3 linked regions of the Macaca fascicularis genome follow. Each later gene encodes a partner of the first gene's protein in a complex. Links are inferred from orthologs where the notes say so. Each region holds a gene or a part of one and is shown in the gene's direction. Other genes may lie near its edges.

Region 1 (6,995 bases):
TCAGGAGGTTGAGGCAGGAGAATCACTTGAACCTGGTAAGTGGAGGTTGCCGTGAGCCGAGATTGCGCCACTGCACTCCAACCCAAGCAACAGTGTGAGACTCCGTCTCAAAAAAAAAAAAAAGAAAAGAAAAGAGAAAAGAAACAAGTCCAAGGTCACAATCTAAGTGGATGAGGTCGCACTGGGACTCAGGCAGTATTTAAATGACTCTTTTTTTTTTTTTTTTTTTTGAGATGGAGTCTTGCTCTGTCACCCACGCTGGGGTGCAGTGGAGCAATCTCAGCTCACTGAAGCCTCCGCCTCCCGGGTTCAAGTGATTCTCGTGCCTCAGCCTCCCAAGTAGCTGCGACTACAGTTACCCACCACCACGCCTGGCTAATTTTGTATTTTTAGTAGAGATGGGGTTTCACGATGTTGGCCAGGCTGGTCTCAAATTCCTGACCTCAAGTGATCTGCCTGTCTTGACCTCCCAAAGTGCTAGGATTACAGGTGTGAGCTGCTGTGCCTGGCCTTTAAATGACTCACATTACAGCACCAGGTTGGAGCCAACCTGCTTGGGTTCAACTCTAGGTCTATGATTTTCTAAACATTGGGTCTCACTATGTTGACTAGGCTAGTCTCGAAGTTCTCAGATGATTCCCCCACCTTGGCTTCCCAAAGTGCTGGGATTACAGGCATGAGCCAGTGCACCAGGCTAAGGTCTACTATTTATTATCTGTAGGATTTGTGCAATGTGTATAACCTCTCTGAGCCTCAATTTCCCCATCTGCATAATGAAGATCATATTGGTACCCACCTTAAAGGGCTGTCTGTTGCCTATGCCTAGCACATAGTAAGCTTTTGGTGGGGGCATTAAGGGGGGCAGTACAGCCTGGTGGTTTGTTTTCAGCATGGGAGTCTAGAGTCCGATTAACTCCAGTCATTGCCCCAGTTCCTCCTCTTAGCTCCTTTGGGATCTTGAACAGGATGCTTATTTCCCATTCCCTGGAGGGCTAGGGGGTCAGGGACTGGAGGTGGGTCCCTTTACCTTTCTGACTTGGAGATTTCCCGGGCTGCCTGGGGTTCGCACAACCAGCAGGGGGCGCAGATAAGTGCCCCAGAGACGCTGTGGGTCCAGTTGTCCCACCACCCTCCGCAGCCGGGCTTCGGGAAGGCTTCCGATCAACGGGACCTTGGGAAGGAGGTGGGATAGGGAAGGGAAGAATGAGAGCAACCCACCATTTCATCCCTACCCCGGGCGCCGTCACCCACAAGCAGCCCCGGGTCCTCTTTCTAATTTGCGGCCTCCAGCATCGGAGACTTCTAGGATAAATCCAAGGCTCAGAAAAAGTCCTTCCAAGACCATCCGGTCCAGCCTACCTCAAACTTGATGGGGAAATCGAGGCCCAGTGAGAGAGAGGGGAGATGGAGGAAGGGACTCTTCCAAATAGTTGACTAAAGGCGTAGAACCCTGAACCCCCTCGTCTTACTATTTCAGACCTTTCCTCATAAAAGGAAGCTACTGTTGTAAAACCAGCCCGAAGCCTTATTCCTTTGGTAAGGGTCATGCGCTCAGATGACGAAGACTGTGGCATCTGCGGTTAGGGCCGTACGCTAAAGCCAAGTCAACCCTGGGTAACAGCGGGGAGGGAATGAGGGTCCCCGCGGTGCCCGGGTCCCCGCCCAGCCTCACCCGCAGCTCCCGGCCCAGCGGCAGCTCCTCAGTCCTGCGGTGCCAGCCGCTCCAAATGGTGTAGAACGCCGAGCCCACGGCCAGCGCCAGCAACAGGGGCAAGAGCCGAACCCGCGGTAGCAGGCGGCGCTTCGGGGGCAAGAGTGGCTCCATAACGCCACGTTCCCCTAGCCGCAGGCGGGGCCGCCCGCGGCCCCCGGAACGCATGGCAGCTATGCCCTGAAACCTGTACCAGACCACGATTGAGTTTAGGCCCAGCCAAGTTCCACCCCATGGAATCAGTGGGCCAATAAGCAACAGCAGCGGCTGCACCTGCCCACCCCACAGCGAGCAGCGAAACCAATAAGAGCTACGGTCCTGAGGACACGCCTCCCGGCCTCCCTTGGGTATTGGGGTTGGTTCTTCTGAGAATGGCACGACCCAAAAGGGAGCGCAAAAGAGATAGGCTCCGCCTTAGCGGAGGGGGAAAGCCAATGAGCAGCGTTTGATCGTGGAAAATATTCAATCTCTCGGGCGCAGGTCCATGCCCCTCCCGGATGTAGGCAGGGGATTGGTGGCGCAGGGTCGGAAAGATCAGTAGATACGTCAATAACCCGTCCCAGAGGGAAGAGGGGCGGTGCCTGTCTCCGAAGCGAGGAGCGGATTGGCTTCAGCGGAGGCCGCGCCCCCGAAGTCACGGCCGGCGGGCATTTGGAAATAGTTTGTCATTTCCCTCCTTAAACCTGTACCATTCTTAAACGAAACGGTTTGAATCAGACCGCCTTTCCTTTTGTCTTCATTGTCATAAACATCTGCCCCGTGTGGTTCTGACTGGCCTCGAACCCCTATCCGAGGCTTTTATTCTTTCATTGTGCACCGTTGGTGGGCAATGCTATGGCAACAGGCCACGCCTCCACTTACTGGTTGGCTTTGCGCAGGCGCCAACGGAAGTGGGTCGCAGGAAGAGGAAGTCCCGCCTCTCTCGCCTCAGGCTGCAGCAACGCGGAGGAAACGGGAGTGAACGGAGAGCTTAGTGACCATCATGTGAGGCCGGGCTAGGCTTAGGCGGCGGGAAGGAGGTTGAGGGTGGAAATTTTGACCGATTGAGGGTGGGAAGGGTTGAGCAGAGAGCGGGGTGGGGGACAGGGGCAGATGTTTTAGGGATGGAGCGTCCTGCGTTTCTCCTGATGAGTTTGAGAACGGGCGTGGGGCCTTTGACGCATCGTGACTTCGGGAGAGGGGACAGCTTTATCAGATAACGCGCTGGGCTGGGCGCGGGGACTCATGCCTGTGATCCCAGCATTTTAGTAGGCCAAGGCGGGAGCATCGCTAGAACACAGGAGTTTCGAGACTACTCTAGGCAACATAGCGAGACCCCCGTCTCTACAAAAAAAATTTTTTTTAATTATGAAAAACATATTTTAAACGATAACGGAGGGGGGTCCTAGATAATTAGTCCTATTGAAGTGAATGTTAAGGGGCAGCGATTTTACGAATACTGGGGGAGGCCGGGCGCGGTGGCTCAGGTTTGTAAATCCCAGCACTTTGGGAGGCCGAGGCGGGCAGATCACCTGAGGTCAGGAGTTTGAGACCAGCCTGGCCATTGTGGTGAAACCCCGTGTCTACCAAAAATACAAAAATTAGCCAGACGTAGTGTCGGGCCCCTGTAATTCCAGCTACTTGGAAGGCTGAGGCCGGAGAATCGCTTGAACCCGGTAGACGGAGGTTGCAGTGAGCCGAGATTGCACCACTGCACACTTCCAGCCTGAGCGAAGAGTAAGACTCCATCTCAAAACGAAACAAAAGAAATCAAAACGAATACTGGGGAAGGGAAGTTAGGACTTTTAGAAATAATGATTTGAAATAAGGGACTTCTCCTGATCATTTGAGCTGGAGACAGATGCGTTTTCGACCTAATTCACAACTTAAAGGGATAACGAGTGATTGGCATGATTTTGCTCATTTATTAGTGCACCAAATATTACATTGAATGTTTATGTATCAGACACTGCTTAAGCCACATAGGATACATCAGTGAATGAAACCTTTTGTTCCCAAGGAAAAAAAAAATCTTTTTTTTTTTTTTTTTTTCCCGAGACATAGCCTTGCTCTGTTGCTCAGGCTGGAGTGCAATGGTGCGATCTCAGCTCACTGCAACCTCTGCCTCCCGAGTTGAAGCAATTCTCCTGCCTCAGCCTCCCGAGTTGCTAGGATTACAGGCACCAACCACCATGCCCAGCTGACTTTTATATTTTTAGTAGAGACCAGATTTCGCCATGTTGGCCAACCTGGTCTCAAACTCCTGACCTCGAATGATCCACCTGCCTCGACCTTCCAAAGTGCTGGCATTACAGGCGTGAGCCACCGTGCCTGGCCGGGCGTGAGCCACCATGCCTGGCCGGGGTTTTACTTTCTACACTGAGATGGCGGGGGGGCATGGGAGGATTTTCTTTTGTTTGTTTGAGATGGAATCTCGCTCTGTCACCCAGATTGGAGTGTAGTAGCACGATCTCTGTCTCCTGGGTTCAAGTGATCTTCTTGCCTCAGCCTCCCAAGTAGCTAGGATTACAAGCATGCGCCACCATGCCCAGCTACTTTTTTTTTTGGGGTGGGGGATGGAGTCTTACTCTGTAACCCAAGCTGGAGTGCAGTGGTGTAATCTTGGCTCACTGCAACCTTCGCTGCTGGGGCTCCAGCGATTCTCCTGCGTCATCCTCCTAAGTAGCTGGGACTAGAGGCATGCGCCATCACACCTCGTTAATTTTTTTGTATTTTTAGTAGAGACAGGGTTTCACCATGTTGCCCTGGGTGGTCTGGAACTCCTGAGCTCAGGCGATCCACCCCCCTTGGCCTCCCAAAGTGCTGGGATTACAGGCGTGAGCCATCACACGCAGCCTAATTTTTGTATTTTCTAATTTGTATTTATTTATTTTTTGAGACAGAGTCTCGCTCTGTCGCCCAGGCTGGAGTGCAGTGGCATGATCTCGCTTCACTGCACTCTCCGACTCCTGAGCTCAAGCGATTCTTCTGCCAGAACCTACCAAGTAGCTGAGATTACAGGCGTGCACCACCACGCCTGGCTAATTTTTTGTTGTTGTTTTTGTTTTGTTTGTATTTTTAGTAGAGATGGGTTTTCACCGTGTTGGCCAGGCTGGTCTCGAACTCCTGATGTCAAGTGATCCACCCGCCTTGTGAATCATCACCAGCTGGATGCCTAACAGACATTTTCTTTTCTTTTCTTTTCTTTTTTTTTTTTTTTTTTTTTGAGACGGAGTCTTGCTCTGTTGCCAGGGTGGAGTGCAGTGGCGCGATCTCAGCTCACCGCAACCTCTGCACCACAAAAGTGCTAGGATTACAGGCATGAGCTACCGTACCCAGCCCCTGGGAGGGCTTTGAAGAGTGACATGTTATGATTTAGGTTTTAGCACAGCCCCCTCAGACCACTCTGTGGAGAACAGACTGTCAGGGAACATGGGTGGAGGCAGAGAGACCGGAAAGATTCCAGGTCAGAGATGACAGAGGCTGAGGCCATGGTAAGAAATGGCCACTTCCTACAGATTTATTGTAGGATGCAAGGGAAAAAGAGGAATCAAGTTGACAAAGAGTTTTTGCCCAGAGAACTAGAAGGCAGATGGGGAACACTGTGGATAGGGTAGGCTTCGGTGGTTGGGTGATCTGGACCCCGACCTGAGACATGCAGAGTTGAAAATGTCTGGCTGAGCGCGGTGGCTCACACCTGTAATCTCAGCACTTCGGGAGGTCGAGGCGGGTGGATCACGAGGTCAGGAAATCAAGACCATCCTGGCCAACGTGGTGAAACCCACTGTCTACTAAAAATACAAAAATTAGCTGGGCGTGGAGGTGGCGCGCACCTGTAGTCCCAGCTACTCAGGAGGCTGAGGCAGGAGAATCGCTTGAACCCAGGAGGCAGAGGTTGCAGTGAGCTGAGATCGTGCCTCTGCACTCTAGCCTGGCAACAGAGCAAGACTCTGTCTCAAAAAAAAAGAAAAGAAAAGAAAAAGAAAATGTCTGTTAGGCATCCAGCTGGTGATACTCAGAAGGCCAAACAGGATGGATGTGATGGGACAAGGCTGGGGAGACATTGAGGCTGAGGCCCTGACCACCCATCCTCACAGCTCCAGCCTCTCTCACTTGTGGGTTCCATGTTTGTCCATGCAGGAGCCTCCTCAACAAGCCCAAGAGTGAGATGACCCCAGAGGAGCTGCAGAAGCGAGAGGAGGAGGAATTTAACACGGGTCCACTCTCTGTGCTCACTCAGTCAGTCAAGAACAACACCCAAGTGCTCATCAACTGTCGCAACAATAAGAAACTCCTGGGCCGTGTGAAGGCCTTCGATAGGTGAGTGCTGGGTCCTGGGAGGTGTTCTGTGCAGGCCTAGAGAGGCTGCCCTAGCTCCAGTCTGAAGAGCTCAAAGACAGGTTTCTCAGACGCCTGGGGTGTATGGCCCAGGGTGGTGGCTCATGCCTGTAATTCCAGCACTTTGGGAGGCCAAGGCGGGTGGATCACCTGAGGTCAGGAGTTCGAGACTAGCCTGGCTAACATGGTGAAACGGCATCTCTATTAAAAATATAAAAACCGGGCGTGGTGGTGCACACCTGTATTCACAGCTGCTCAGGAGGCCGAGGCACGAGAATTGCCTGAACCCAGGAGGCAGAGGTTGCGGCGAGCTGAAATCGCACCACTGCACTCCAGCCTGGGCAACAGAGCGACACTCTGTCTCAAAAAAAAAAAAAGAAAAAAAAAGATAATATTCAACGACCTTGTGAGGAAGGTACTGTGATTGTCTTCCCTCTTAAAGATGAACAAACTGGCACAGAGAGGTGCAGTCCTTTGCCTCAGCCTCAACCTAAGGACTGGCAGAATTGGCCTTGGCAGCTTGGTCATCCAGCCTAGCACCTGCACCCTTCCCCAAGCCATGCTGCTGGAGGGGGCGAGCAGCAGGCAGCGCTGTCAGAGGCACCCCCCTCACACCCAGTGCCTCCCCTCCCTGTTCCCCACCAGGCACTGCAACATGGTGCTGGAGAACGTGAAGGAGATGTGGACTGAGGTCCCTAAGAGCGGCAAGGGCAAGAAGAAATCCAAGCCAGTCAACAAAGACCGCTACATCTCCAAGATGTTCCTGCGTGGGGACTCGGTCATCGTGGTCCTGCGGAACCCGCTCATCGCCGGCAAGTAGGGGCTGCCTATCCATCGACAGAACTCACTCTCTCGTCCTATGAAGACCATTGCCATTGGTGTTGAGAATAATAAAGCTCTGTGGTTTTTTTCTAGTGGTATGTGTTCCCAGAGCCTTGTGAGTGGGGTGGATTCAGGAGGGCTTGGG
Region 2 (7,096 bases), on another chromosome or scaffold:
GAACATCTGTATTCTTAAAAGCTTCAAGGTAAGTCTGACATAAGCCAGAAAACCATTGTTCCAACCCCTCTTCCCATTACTGCATGATCTGTATTATGTACTCAATGTTTCACCCCAAATAAAATAATTCAAGTATTAACTCCCAATTTGTGAACCTTTCGGCTTTCATAATTATCTATGGCCTCTAACCCAAGAATTCTGGGAATCTATCCTAGACAACAAGAAATAAAAATGATGTTTTCTAAACAAAGATGTGTTATTTTCAACGTTTGATTAAAATATAGTTTATCACTTCTAATGCCTAAAAATTAAGTACAATCTAAATAGTCAATCATAGTGAACAGTTAAATAAATTATGGCAAATTTGTGCTAGAATACTAATTAACAACTTAAAATGATGACCTTTTAACAAAATAAAACACTCATAATAACATTAAGTAAAAACACTAGGACACAAAACTGTATGTGTGTATATAGGACTTCATTTCTGTTAAAAATGAAGATTAGAAACAAAACTGGAAGATTTGATCCAAACTGTCAACATTAGTCACCTCTAAGTTCTGGGATTACGGGTAATTTATTTTCCCGTTAACAATTTTCCATGCTTTCTAAATTTTCTACAAAACATAAATTATATAAATTTATATAATTCATCAAGAAATAAATGTATAGATTTATAGAATCTATAAAGTCATAAACTTATTACATTGATAATTAGAAAGCAAAGTTGACCTATTCTGCTAATATGGGCTGAACAGAAACAGCAATTTGTTCCAGGGCTAAAGACATTTACATTTCAAAAAGATATGCATGAATTAGTTCCTATAAGTACTTCTTGAAGGCTCAAAATTTAAAACAAGATCAAGACCACTAAATTCTTAAATAGTGACGAATATAAGGTAACATGAATTAATTCTTATAAATACTTCTCGAAGGCTCAAAATTTAAAACAAAGATCAAGACCACTAAATTCTTAAACAGTGATGAATGTAAGGTAACAACTACATCTTAGGATCAAATTAGAGTTACTGTAAGAAAGCATTCCTACTATCATGAGTGGATTTGAAAACATGTTGAAAAATCCCATCGAAGCTGACAGAGCACTGAACCAACTTCTACCTGGAACTTGGTGACAGTGACTGATTTGTCTCTAACCATAAAGCCCATCAAAAACCAAGATTGTCTACTTAGTAGTAAAAAATAATAACGACGATGATAGGAGGATTCTGCTGAACTCATGTTTTCAATGGACCAAAAAAATCTTCCCCTAGGTATGGAGAAGTAACTCAAGTGGAAAGAAGGGATGCTTGAAATTATTGCAAACTCTTTATTCATTACATAGATTAGCCACTGGTGGGTACCATGCATCCAGGATTTATGAAGATTTCAAATACGCCGTCCTTTTGCCCCCATAACCACACTCAAACTCGTGAGACCATGTGCCTCTATTTTTAATTACGAAAATAAGGACGCTGTATCTCCACCGGTGGTTAGAACTGCGAAACATCCCAACCACAACGTCCAGAAGGGCGACTGATCGCAGAGCTTCAAGTGATCTTAACTACGTTATGTGTTCCTGACACACTACAGCTGTGTTCCGAGGGTCTGGGACGCAGGACAGAACCATTACTATATTAAGCTTTCCCGCTCATGGGACGCGGTGCTCAGTCCCCGGGGACCGACAGGGGCTCCACCAACAACTCTGCGCCTCCCTCTCGCGGCCCGGACGGCAGCAGCGCAGGTAACTGGAAATGACTGGCAAGAAAAGCACCTTTTAAAATAACAAAAACAAACCACTTATCAGGAACTTTTCCAGCCTGGAATGAGGAATATTTATAAAAACAGTGGTAGAATATTAGGACATTTCTAGGCCCAGTTTCACCAAGTGAAAAGACCTGTGATAAGACGAGCCCAGGGCTGCACTGGACTTGCGGGATGCAGAGACTAACCAGAAGGGCCCTGCCGTCGAGGGACCCTAATCTCTGTACGCTTCGGGGGCGCCCGGGTGGCAGCCGGTGTCCCGCCGCGTCCCTGAGAGGCTTCGGCCTTGTCCGACCCCAGGCTGAAGATCAGGTGGCCCGGGGCCAGCACGTTACCTGCAGCAGGTGCAGCTGGGCCACGAGACCCCGTGGCAGGTGGAGGAAGCAGTCGCGAGCGTTGGTGAAGGCCACAGTCACTGCCGCCCCGCCTCCCCCAGCACCCGCCAGGCGATCGCTGCCCCACATCGTCCCGAAGCGTCGCTCTGGGTTTGCCCACCCTAGCGCCGCAAAGGACACGGGACCTGGCAGGCCGAGGACGTCGGAACCGGAGGAGATCGATCGGCCCCGCCCCCTGAGGCCCCGCCCCCTCTCCCCGCTGCGCGTCTCGCCGTAAGCCTGTAGTGGGGTGGGACAAGAAAGCTTCTGTCACCCACCGCGCCTCTCCGCCAAGCCGCTCGGGGGCGGCACCTCGTTCATCAAATCCTCGCACGCAGGAAACGATGGCCGACGCTGTCGATTCTTCAGCCAATGCTGACACTCCTTAACTCATCCCGCTCTCTTATTGGATAAAAGGGAGGTCAGCAGGGCGGATGTTGTCCTCCCTGCAAGGATCAAAGTAGGCAAGATGGCGTCCAGCGGTGGGGAGTTAGGGAGTTTATTTGACCACCACGTCCAGAGGGCGGTGTGCGACACGCGGGCCAAATATCGGGAGGGACGACGGCCTCGTGCTGTCAAGGTAAAGTGATTTTTGGTTTCATTCGCTCTCCTCGGTAGCTTTTTGTGAGCGCTAGCGCCATATGGCTAACCTACGGAAATAAAGGCACGACAAGGCTTCCGTCAGATCTGTCGCTCATTAGAGCTGGCGTGAAGAACCCTGGGCCAGGTACCAAAGATTCTCACGACCCTTTTGGTCAACTATTAGAACATCAACTCCACGAGAATAGGGCTTGGTTTTAGTCATTGGATCTTCAGTGTTTACAGTACTACTTGGCACAGGTAAGCGCTCAGTGAATATTCGTTGAGTGATTGTTCCCAGTGACTTCTGCCGACTCAATTTCTGGAAAAAAATGTCGACTGAAGGTAGTCTGTTATATGCCTTAGGTAGCCTCTCACATGGACTGTTACTCTTTATGCAGAGGGAATGGCAGAAATTTTATTTTGTGTTTTTTGCTGACTGGGTTGAACAGATTATTTCTTGTTTTCAAAGTTCTGTTTAAAAAAAAAAATAGAGGCAGATTCGTCCTAGGCTTATTTGCGAAATACGTTTAATAACTATGCATTTCTTTCAGGTATATACAATCAATTTGGAATCTCAGTACTTATTAATACAAGGAGTTCCTGCTGTGGGAGTCATGAAGGAATTAGTTGAGCGATTCGCTTTATATGGTGCAATTGAACAGTACAATGCGCTAGATGAATACCCAGCAGAAGACTTTACTGAAGTTTATCTTATTAAATTTATGAACTTACAAAGTGCAAGGTAAGGTGCAAGTTAAGCAATGACTCGTTTCATTTCCTCCATTCATATTTCTGTCATTTTGGCCCCAAGTTTCCCTCATTCATATCTGAATTACCCCAAAATGTAATCTAGCATATCTTCCTACAGCCTTTTTACAGGTTAACTTTACTGAAACACTGTATCCATCACATCCCATGCTTAACAATGTAATGTCCTGTAGCGTGGTAGAGTAAAAGTTGGGTTTGGCCAGGCACGGTGGCTTACGCCTGCAATCACAGCACTCTGGGAGGCCGAGGCAGGCGGATCACGAGGTGAGGAGTTTGAGACCAGCCTGGCCAACATGGTGAAACCCCGTCTCTACTAAAAATACAAAATTAGCCGGGTCTAGTGGTGCATACCTGTAATCCCAGCTACTCAGGAGGCTGAGGCAGGAGAATTGCTTGAACCCAGGAGGCAGAGGTTGCAGTGAGCCGAGATTGCGCCATTGCACTCCAGCCAGGGCAACAAGAGGGGATCTCCGCCTCAAAGAAAAAAAAAATGGGTTTGAGGGCTGGGCGCCAATAACTCACGCCTCACGCCTGTAATCAGAGTACTTTGGGAGACCGAGGCAGGCAGATCACTTGAGGTCAGGGGTTCAAGACCAGCCTGGCCAACATGATGGAAACCCCGGCTCTACTAAAAATACAAAAATTAGCCGGGTGTGGTGGTGCAGACCCATAGTCCCAGCTACTCAGGTGGCTGAGGCATGGGAATCGCTTGAACCCGGGAGGTGGAGATTGCAGTGAGCAGAAATCACACCACTGCACTCCAGCCTGGATGACAGAGCGAGGCTCCGTCTCAAAAAAAAAAAAAAAAAAAAAAAATTTGGGTTTGGCGCCAGGCATGTGGCTCACACCTGTAATCCCAGCAGTTTGGGAGGTGGAGGTAGGCGGATCACCTGAGGTCAGGAGTTCAAGACCAGTCTGGCCAACATGGTGAAACCCTGACTCTACTAAATACAAAAATTAGCTGTGTTGGTGCAAGCCTTTAATCCCAGCTCCTGGGGAGGCTGAGGCACAAGGATCACTTGAACCCAGAAAGTAGAGGTTGCAGTGAGCCAAGATCATGCCATTGCACTCCAGCCTGGAAAGAGTGAGACTGTCCCAGAAAAAAAGAAAAGAAAAGAAAAAAAAGTTGAATTCGATCCCAGCACTATGGAAGGCCAAGGTGGGCAGACAGCTTGAGCCCAGGAGTTCGAGACCCGACTGGCCAACATGGCAAAACCTCACCTCTGCTAAAAATACAAAAATCAAGGTGGGCGTGGTAGTGCATTCCTGTAGTCCCAGCTACTTGGGAGGCTGAGGTGGGAGAATCAGTTGAGCCCAGGAGGTGGAGGTTGCAGTGAGTCATTTATGGACCACTGCACTCCATCCTGGGTGATGGAGTGAGACTATGTCTCAAAAGAAAAAAAAATGTTGGGTTTGGAGTAAGTTTTCCATTTCCACTGCTTACTAGCTTTGTGATCTTGGACAAGTTATTTAACCTGTTTAAGTTTTTCCTGTTCCGTAAAATCTATATGGTAAAGGGACCTATCTACTTCTTGAGGTTGTATGAGGATGAAATGAGATAATCCATATAAAGGGTTTAGCAGAGTGCCTCCTGGTCAGAATACAGTAAGCATTAGCTATTGTGGTTTCTACTGTTACTCCTTTCTGCAAATTGACTCAGTGTTTTCCGGCCTTCTATGTGACATAAACCCTCTGCTCCAAAAAGGCTGAAGTATGCAATGCCTTATCTATTTTTATGTTGATCTCTGTTCTCCTCACTAATCTGCTCTGAGACCCATCCTTCTCTGGCTGTTACAATTCATATTTTCTTTCATGTGCTATCAGTAGAAATCATAATCTACCACAAAAGCACTTGATTTTACTGGGTCATGTGTGGTTTTCTCAGGCTGCTGTTATATGTAATCTCACTTTCTTAACCAATCTGCCAGCTGTCATGGTTAGAGAAATATTTTCTCGAGCTTTTCTGTTTTCCAAAGTACCTAGTCTAGTAGGCTCTGAAGTAAGACATCTGGATTTGAATCCTTGCTCCTCAAACCAGAGTATGAGCATGGCTAAGTTATGTAATGTCCCAGTGCTTCCGTTTCATTACAGGGTTGTTGTTAGGTGTTAATTCAAGTGAAGCACTTACAACATTGCCTGGCATATGGTAAAATCTGAGCAAGTATTTATCATTATCCCTGGATACAGAAGTAGTTATATTTATTGTAGTACCTGGCCAATCATAGATGTTTAGTAAGTATTTATTGACTGAATAACATTCTTCTCATTTTCTCATTGTTATATGTTTAATAGTTCCTCAGTTATTGAACGTTTTATGATTATAGTATTTTTCATCTGATTTTTAAGGCAAGAATCCCATTACAGAAATACATTGTGCTGAAAAAGCTTAATTGGGTATGAAGTAACTCTTCAGGGCCACAGAGAAAAGCTCTATTTTATGACCACAGTTTATATACTTCAGGCCAACCAGCTGGGTCCTTAGTTGTTTAAAGACTAGGAAACAAAGAGGCTCGAAGGGAAGAAAAGGGGAGGCTCTAAGTACATACTCGAACAATGGAATGAATACTGTCCACAAGCAGAGCATCTTAATTCCCAATCCACAGGATATATATACACATAGCAAAAGTTGGACTTTGCTCTTTAGATCCAGATATTGTATACTAGTTAAGCTTTCATCCCAAGTAAATCTAGATTAAAAAACCATGCTATCTTGTATTTCCATTCAGGACAGCCAAGAGAAAAATGGATGAACAGAGTTTCTTTGGTGGATTGCTTCATGTGTGCTATGCGCCAGAATTTGAAACAGTTGAAGAAACTAGAAAAAAACTACAAGTGCGTAAGGCATATGTAGTAAAAACTACTGAAAATAAAGGTATGGAAAGCATATTGCTAAATGCCTCCTGTATGTCAGGTACTCTGCCAGGTGTATCATCATGCAATTCCTAGTCTAGTGGGAGGAGAGGCAAGTAAAGCATCACAGTATTCAGTAACTGTAAGGGTTCTCTACAGCACACTACATAATCTGGGTTGAGAAGGGAGAAATGTTGGTTCATAGAAGACTTCCTACAGTATGTGAGAAGTGGCTGAAATTTGAAGGATAAGTAGACATTAACTAAAAGGGAGAGGAAAAGATGGAAAGGCAAGCCAGGCAGGATGTTTAAGTGTTTAGAGGAATAAATGAGCATCATGCATTTAAGGAAATTTAGTTAATACAGTATAACCAAAGCTCAAAGGTTTCAGTGAGAGATAAGTTTAGAAAAGTGGATAAGAAGTGAATCATGAAGGGCCTTGTGTCCCATGCTAAGGAATTAAGGCTTTGACCAGAATGCAGTGAGAAGCAGTTATGATTTGCAGACTAGTTGTCACTGCTAATCATGGAGAAGTTCTACTTTTGACCAGCAATTGACTAAATGCCCCCATATGCCCCTTCTACCAGATAGTGGTAGAGAGAAATAAAGTGGGAAAACTCTTGGAAAACTTACTCAGAAATCTGGCAAGAGAGCTGTTGAGAATCCCCAGTCATCTGTATCCATTGAAGTCTAACTTGTAAGATAAGTAAATAAATAGCACCAGGAAAACTTAATGTGTTTGTATGACAAAGGACATTATAA
Region 3 (6,989 bases), on another chromosome or scaffold:
CCATTGCACTCTAGCCTGGGTAGCACAGTGAGACCTTCTCTCTTTAAAAAAAAAAAAAAAAAAAAAACTCCAGTAACCTTTCTAAATTCTCTCATTAATTCCAATAACTTGTATTAGTTTTTTTTTCTTTAGAGACACGGTCTTACCTCATTGTCCAGGCTGAAGTGCAGTAGCAGAAATAGGGTTTATTGCAGCCACAAACTTCTGAGCTCAAGTGATCCTCCTGCCTCAGTGTCCCGTGTAGCTGGGATCACAGGTGTGTACCACCATGCCAGGCTAATTTTTTAATTTTTTTGTAGAGTCTGAGTCTCATTCTCTTGCCCAGGTTGGTCTTGAATTCCTGGACTGGAGTGATCCTCCCATCTCAGCCTCCCAAAGTACTGGGAACTGGAATTACAGGCATGAGCCACCGCACCTTGCCTCTTTTCTTTATATATAACCTCTAAAACAATTTCTAATCACAGATTTACAACTTTCTTTGGAACATTTATGCATTTTTAAGTTTTCTGAACACCCAGTGCAATGCTGTATAGAAGAGGCAGTAGCAATCATCTGTCTTGTACCTAATACAGAATGCTTTCTGTGTTTCACCATTAGGTGTGGGGTTTCAGATAGTCTGTCAGGTTAAAAAATTCCCTTCTATTTTTAGTGTCTAAGAGTTCTTGTAAGTGAAAGGATGCTGAATTCTATCAAAAACTTTTTACACATCTTTTGATACGATTTTCTTCTTTAATCTTTTAATATTGTGAATTATATCAATTACATTAACCTGTCTTCTAATATTAAATTGACCTTGAAGCCTACACAATTGGTTATAATACACAATACTTTCAGAACTCAATCCAAATGAGCAGGAATACATTCTTTAGAGCCAAGTAGGTACCATAACTCACCAGTTATATTTTTATCTACACACAATCAGCAATAAATGAACATGTACCAGTATCTGACCAGTTGTGTCATTTTGACTGGCTCTTTTATTTACCTCCATCAGTAATGCAACAATCTATTTAATCAGTAAACAGTAATGCTGAGCATTCACTAAATGTCATTCACTTTTCTGGCACTAGAGTACAAATGACAAAGCCATAACCATTGCCATTAAGGAGCTCATAAATGTGTGAGTGGTGTGTATGTGTGAGACAAAAGGGAGAGGCTGACACAAAGGAGGAGTCAAACAAAATAAAATGAAAAACGTATATAGTAAGTGCTTTACTGTAAGTGAATGGACGAGAGTACTAAGGAAAAAGAATAGAGACATATTTCAAGTTTTCACGTTGTTTGACGCAAATCTTGTAGACGGTGTTTGCTGCAAAAAGATGAAGAAAACATTCACAGACATTTATGTTGATTACATATTTATTGGTATGTGCCAAGACGTTTTGATCTTGGGGATGAAGTAGTAAACACAAAAATCTCTGTTGTATAGGGCTTACATTCTAGCAATAAAGAACTTGCCCAGAGAAAAGGCCTCTCCTGGTTAGTAAACAGTATGAACAATTAACAGCTCTGGTTGTTTCACAGAGCCACACTGGGCTGCCTGCTGCAGACAATATCACAGTTTATATTTAAATATTCTTTTAATTTGTCCTTGTATGTAATTTGCAAATTATCACTCATATGTATACATATCAAAAGATGTGTAAAAGTTTTTGATAGAATTCAGCATTCATTCGCTTAAAAAATGAGTGCAGGCTCACTTTATTGATGAGAGTATTTAATCAAAAATATTGGGGATCTACAACTCTAGAGTTCTCCAAAGTCCACCAAGGAAAAAGTAATTTGAATTTAATCGCATTTAAAACTATATAGTATCCACGCCTAAAACATTAGCAACATAGGAAAACTCACACAGCAGAAGAGATGGCTGGGGAATTTTTTTTGGTTTTTGTTTTTTTGTTTTAAGACAGGGTCTCGCTCTGTCGTCCAGGCTGGAGTGCAGTGGCGCGACCACCGCTTACTGTGGCTGGCCTCGACTTCTCCGGCTCCAGTATCCTCCCACCTCAGCCTTCCAAATAGGTGGGACCACAGGCACCACCACGCCAAGCCCGTATATGGTTTTTAAGTAAGACAAATTGCAAAAAAACGTTACTAGACAGTGTTCGCAGGTTTGAGCCGTCACTGGGAATGGCTCGTGTCCGTCTAGATATTCAGAGGCCGAGCACAGTCCTCAGTAGGGCTGCTCGGCGGGTACACTGCTGCCGCTGGCCCCTGGGCTTACGGGAGTGGGAAGGGATTTCAACTCGGCCGCGGACCGGGAAGGCGTTCTGACCCGCTAGAGCTCGGGGCGAGGGACCCCATCCCGGTGCCTACAGCGCCTCCTTTAGCCGGCATGGGCCAGCGTTAGTTACCTCAGGGCACTGAACTGGCGCCTGCGTCTTTCTGCACTTCTCGCTCTTTCTTCAAGTCACTTATGCCCAGCGAGCCCGCCCTCCCGCCAGCCAATCGTCATTTCCGGCGGGTGCTCTGCGTCATTTACGTCGTCACTTCCTGCCGATACCGGTGTGGACGGTGTGAATCGTGGCTGGGCCGGTTCTCTGCTTCTCCCCATCCCCTACTTTCCTCCCTCCCTCCCTTTCCCTCCCTCGTCGACTGTTGCTTGCTGGTAGCAGACTCCCTGACCCCTCCCTCACCCCTTCCTAACCTCGGTGCCACCGGATTGCCCTTCTTTTCCTGTTGCCCAGCCCAGCCCTAGTGTCAGGGCGGGGGCCTGGAGGAGCCCGAGGCGCTGCAGCAGAAGAGAGAAAAGACAACGACGACCCTCAGCTCGCCAGTCCGGTCGCTGGGTTCGCCGCCGCCATGGCAATGAGACAGACGCCGCTCACCTGCTCTGGCCACACGCGTCCCGTGGTTGATTTGGCCTTCAGTGGCATCACGCCTTATGGGTATTTCTTAATCAGCGCTTGCAAAGGTGAGCAAGGCCTCAATCCTGGTCCCCGACGGCTGGGACTGGGCCGAAAGGGATTGGGACCCGCACTCTCCAGTGCTGAGCTGTGGTGTGGTGAGCGGGGAGGGGGCGATATTAACATCTGAGATGAGGGCCAACACTGGTCCAGTGGAGAAAGGAGTGTGTTAGGGAATCCGCAGCTGGAGCCGAGAGGCCTCCGGACGCTTATGTAGAAACTATTACCCCCAGCTAAGACCTCTCTCCTTATTTTATTTTTATTGCTATTTTTGAAGGAGCTGGACAGCACTTGCCTAGACTCTCGGGACAACACTGTAAATAGCTGTCAAGGATTTGGGGAAAGGAGAAATTAGGCCAGGCCGTGCGATACCTTACAAAGATGTTCGCTCTTGTCTCACTGGGTATTCCTTTGTGGTATTAGCCTCATTTTTCAAATGGGAAACAGATTTAGGCTACAATGTTTGTCCAAAATAAGACTAAAATCTAAGTTATTTCGACGCAGATCAGTATTCCCAGCAAATTACAGATGCTTTTCAGGGAAAATGATCTGTTCAGCTCTTCAGTTAATTATTACTGGACATTCCGTAGTGACTTCAATCGGTGGTGATAGTTAAATAGCTGAAACAATTTTTCCACTTCGTCATTGAACATCATTGTATATTTACATTTGAATCTTAGACTTTAATCCGAACTTATAAATTACATGTTTTAAAAAATATTTTCTAGATGGTAAACCTATGCTACGCCAGGGAGATACAGGAGACTGGATTGGAACATTTTTGGGTCATAAAGGTGCTGTTTGGGGTGCAACACTGAATAAGGATGCCACCAAAGCAGCTACAGCAGCTGCAGATTTCACAGCGTAAGTGTAGCCAAGATGGCTAACTTTGGTGTTCTCTGTAGATTGTGTCCTGAAATAATCAAAAACTTCAGTCTCAGATATTCATAAAATTCTGACTCGCTGGCTGCCATATAGAACGCATGATGTTTGATCTCACCAAAATTCCATCCTGGTCCATCGTGGTCCTGTGTGCTGCTTTTGTCTTCAGTGGTTCTCAAAATTTTTAGAGGCCTAAATGACTTACTCCTTATATTTTGATTGAGACTCAGGAATCTGCATTAACAAACGCTCCAGATAATGAATGTTGATCTCCTTTACGAATGCTGCTCTGTGTGTACTCCTTAGTGATAACCTACAGTGATGACCCTAGGTTTTTATTTCAATCCCAGTTTTTGTTAACTGGCTGTAGGCATCACTAAAACTCATTGTGTCAAAAACAAACAAAAAGACAAAACAACAACAAAGCAAAACTCAACTGCTCTTCATTTCCTAAGTTTTTAAAGGTTGAAATCTAAAGCATTCTTGATTTTCCCTTACATCGAGATTATCATCATCTGTTTTGATTGTGCCAGCAGGATGTCTCCTGACTACAATGTTCCTCCATGTAGTAACTGCCACTGCCTTAGTTGAGGATCATTTTTAACTTTCAGTAGTTTCTTTTCCTCCTATTCATATTCCATATTGCTGCCAGTTGTCTTCCTAAAAATGTATTTGATCATGTCACTTCTCTACCTAATGATCTTGCTGTCTTCCCTTTGCCATTTTAGTAGTTCATGACCTTTGACATACATTAGAATATCTGGAGAACTTTTCAAATATTCAAATGGTATGTGTCCCAGAAATTTGGATTTTTAAAACTTTTTTTTTTTTACTTTTTTACTCTCTATGCATATATATATTTACACTTTTTACTACATTGAAAAATTTTTAAAATACTTTTTAGTATATAGACAGTATCTAGCTATGTTGCCCAGGCTGTCTTAAACTGTTGGCCTCCATGCGTCAGCCTCTCAAAGAGCTGGGGTTTTGGGGATGAACTATTGTGCCTGGTACAGAAATTCTGGTTTGATTGGTCTTTAGGGATAGAGTACTGATCATACTGATCATTGGCGTTTTTTTTATTTTTCTTCCCTCCTTTTCTTTCCTGATATGCAGTCGTAGAATTGCTGACCTAAAGGACACATTTCAATTGTTGGCCCTTTACAGTTTGCTTCATCCTAGTTCATCAACATCATCCTCTCCCATTGCACACCATAAACCTACAATCTAATTATACTAATCTTATTGTTGTCAGAAATATACTTTACCTGTTCTGACTTTTGGCTGTTAATTATGTTATTAAACTGACCTACAGTGGCCCTCGTTGCCTTTTTGGGAATATATCATGTATTAAAAATCTTGTTTTCTCCAGTTCCTACTTGGTATTTGTAACTTAGGAATTTGACACTTCATTGTTTAAACTGATGAAGGCAATATCAAGAGCTATTGTGCATACACAAATTTATTAGATTTAAGAGGCTAGAGAGTACAAGTGGTGTTGATTTTTTTTTTTTTTTTAAAGACAGAGTCTTGCTCTGTCGCCCAGGCTGGAGTGCAGTGGCACAATTTCGGCTCACTGCAACTTCCACCTCTGAGGTTCAAGTGATTCTCCCACCTCAGCTTCCTGAGAGGCTGGGACTACAGGTGTGCGCCACCATGCCCGGCTAATTTTTGTGTTTTTAGTAGAGATGGGGTTTTGCCATGTTGGCCAGGCTGGTCTCGAACTCCTGACCTCAAGTGATTTTGGCCTCCCAAAGTGCTGGGATTACAGGTGTGAGCCACTGTGGCTGGCCTTTGATTTTTTTTTTTTTTTTAAACAACCTCACACTAAGGAGGAATTGTAAATGTGCTGCCTCCTTCCTTTTAAGTAAATTAAACATACCAATTTTAGAATGAGAAAATGAAGGCTGATTGATTGTGGTGGCGGATACGTGACTGTATGCTCTTGTTTGTTGAAACAGTGTTGTCTTTATGCTTTTTTAACATTTCAAGTCTCAATGTCTTGTGTTTACAACTGGTGTTAAGAGCATGAAGACTGGAGCCAGATGACTTGTATTTGAATTAGTGGCCTCATGCACTTTAACCATTTCTTTTCTGTCGTGGTACCTACCTCATAGGTTGGTTTTGAATATTAAATAAGTTAATATGTTTCAAATACTTAGAATATTGCCTGAAGTCCATTACATCTATGAAAGTGTTACATATGTAAAGTAACAATGATAGCTACCATGTAAACTATTACCACCCGCACTTGATCAAAATCACATATTATTTTGAAACTAATATGGCTAAAGCCTTGAAACCATTTGGCCTCATGTAAGGAAGGTTGAATGGATTTAAATGTCAAGTAGGAAGATTTTTGTGATTTTTTTTCCCCCCTCAGTTAAGGCTTTAGGTGCTGTGTTAGAGTGGAAAATGGTAACAAGCATTGGCACTAGGTGGGCTTGCATTCATGTGCAAACTATGTTGTGTATTTCCAGTTTGATCATCATAGGGTTATTATTATTATTGTTTTTTAATCAGGGTCTTAGGTGCCTAGGCTAGAGTGCAGTGGCGTGATCATAGCTCACTGCAGCCTCTACCTCCCAGTCTCAAGCAGTTCTCCAACCTCAGCTTCCTGAGTAGTGACACAGGCGTGTACTACCGTGCTTGGCTAATCTTTGTGTTTTTTGTAGAGATGGGTTTCTCCATGTTGTCCAGGTTGGTCTTGAACTCTTGGGCTCAAGCGATCTGCCCACCATGGCAGGATGTTTCTTAAACGTCAGTTTTCGTGTCTGTAAAATGGGACTAAGACCCATGAGATTATTGGAGGAACAGAGAGCTCTTTCTCTACCATATATCCCTGAAGTCCAATATGATCTCTGTCACATAGTAGGTGCTCAATAAATGCTACTTGAGATTTATCCCTCATTTCCTCTATGTCTTGTCTATGGGGTGTAGGAGTGTGTTTTCGTGTGGTGTGTGTGTGTGTGTGTGTGTTCTCTCCAAGAAGTTACTCCCCACAGCCTACCTGATTAGTCATAGTTGGTATAAAGCATTTTTAGAAAGATCTTTTTTTTCCCTCCATTCTTATGTTTCTTGGAAAACTCATTTCTGGTGTGGTCATCTAGAAGTGGATTTTGGTCCTGTTTCTAGTGGAGAAATTTGGCAGAATAGGTCTGTGGACTAGTGTAGAATGTTATCTTGGAGTAATTTGGGCAGTTG

The links.
Region 2: SNRPD2 (region 1) and RBM48 share a complex: the UniProt entries of both Homo sapiens proteins name them as parts of the minor spliceosome. The link is inferred for Macaca fascicularis from reciprocal best matches to the Homo sapiens genes SNRPD2 and RBM48.
Region 3: SNRPD2 (region 1) and STRAP share a complex: the UniProt entries of both Homo sapiens proteins name them as parts of the SMN-Sm complex. The link is inferred for Macaca fascicularis from reciprocal best matches to the Homo sapiens genes SNRPD2 and STRAP.

Annotation. Positions count from the first base shown.
Region 1 is NC_088393.1:53,754,811-53,761,805, reverse strand, and holds SNRPD2 (small nuclear ribonucleoprotein Sm D2), read left to right. Parts: upstream 1-2,640; 5' UTR 2,641-2,693; coding exon 2,694-2,695; exon of another isoform or gene 2,696-3,427; intron 3,428-5,830; coding exon 5,831-6,010; intron 6,011-6,673; coding exon 6,674-6,848; 3' UTR 6,849-6,942; downstream 6,943-6,995. Other genes in the region: QPCTL (glutaminyl-peptide cyclotransferase-like protein), read right to left, coding at 1,028-1,171, 1,673-1,879. UniProt on the Homo sapiens protein: Plays a role in pre-mRNA splicing as a core component of the spliceosomal U1, U2, U4 and U5 small nuclear ribonucleoproteins (snRNPs), the building blocks of the spliceosome.
Region 2 is NC_088377.1:128,834,918-128,842,013, reverse strand, and holds the start of RBM48 (RNA-binding protein 48), read left to right. Parts: upstream 1-2,586; 5' UTR 2,587-2,604; coding exon 2,605-2,715; exon of another isoform or gene 2,716-2,975; intron 2,976-3,268; coding exon 3,269-3,459; intron 3,460-6,211; coding exon 6,212-6,357; intron 6,358-7,096. Other genes in the region: peroxisomal ATPase PEX1, read right to left, coding at 2,097-2,225. UniProt on the Homo sapiens protein: As a component of the minor spliceosome, involved in the splicing of U12-type introns in pre-mRNAs.
Region 3 is NC_088385.1:18,695,756-18,702,744, forward strand, and holds the start of STRAP (serine-threonine kinase receptor-associated protein), read left to right. Parts: upstream 1-2,479; 5' UTR 2,480-2,799; coding exon 2,800-2,911; intron 2,912-3,631; coding exon 3,632-3,767; intron 3,768-6,989. UniProt on the Homo sapiens protein: The SMN complex catalyzes the assembly of small nuclear ribonucleoproteins (snRNPs), the building blocks of the spliceosome, and thereby plays an important role in the splicing of cellular pre-mRNAs.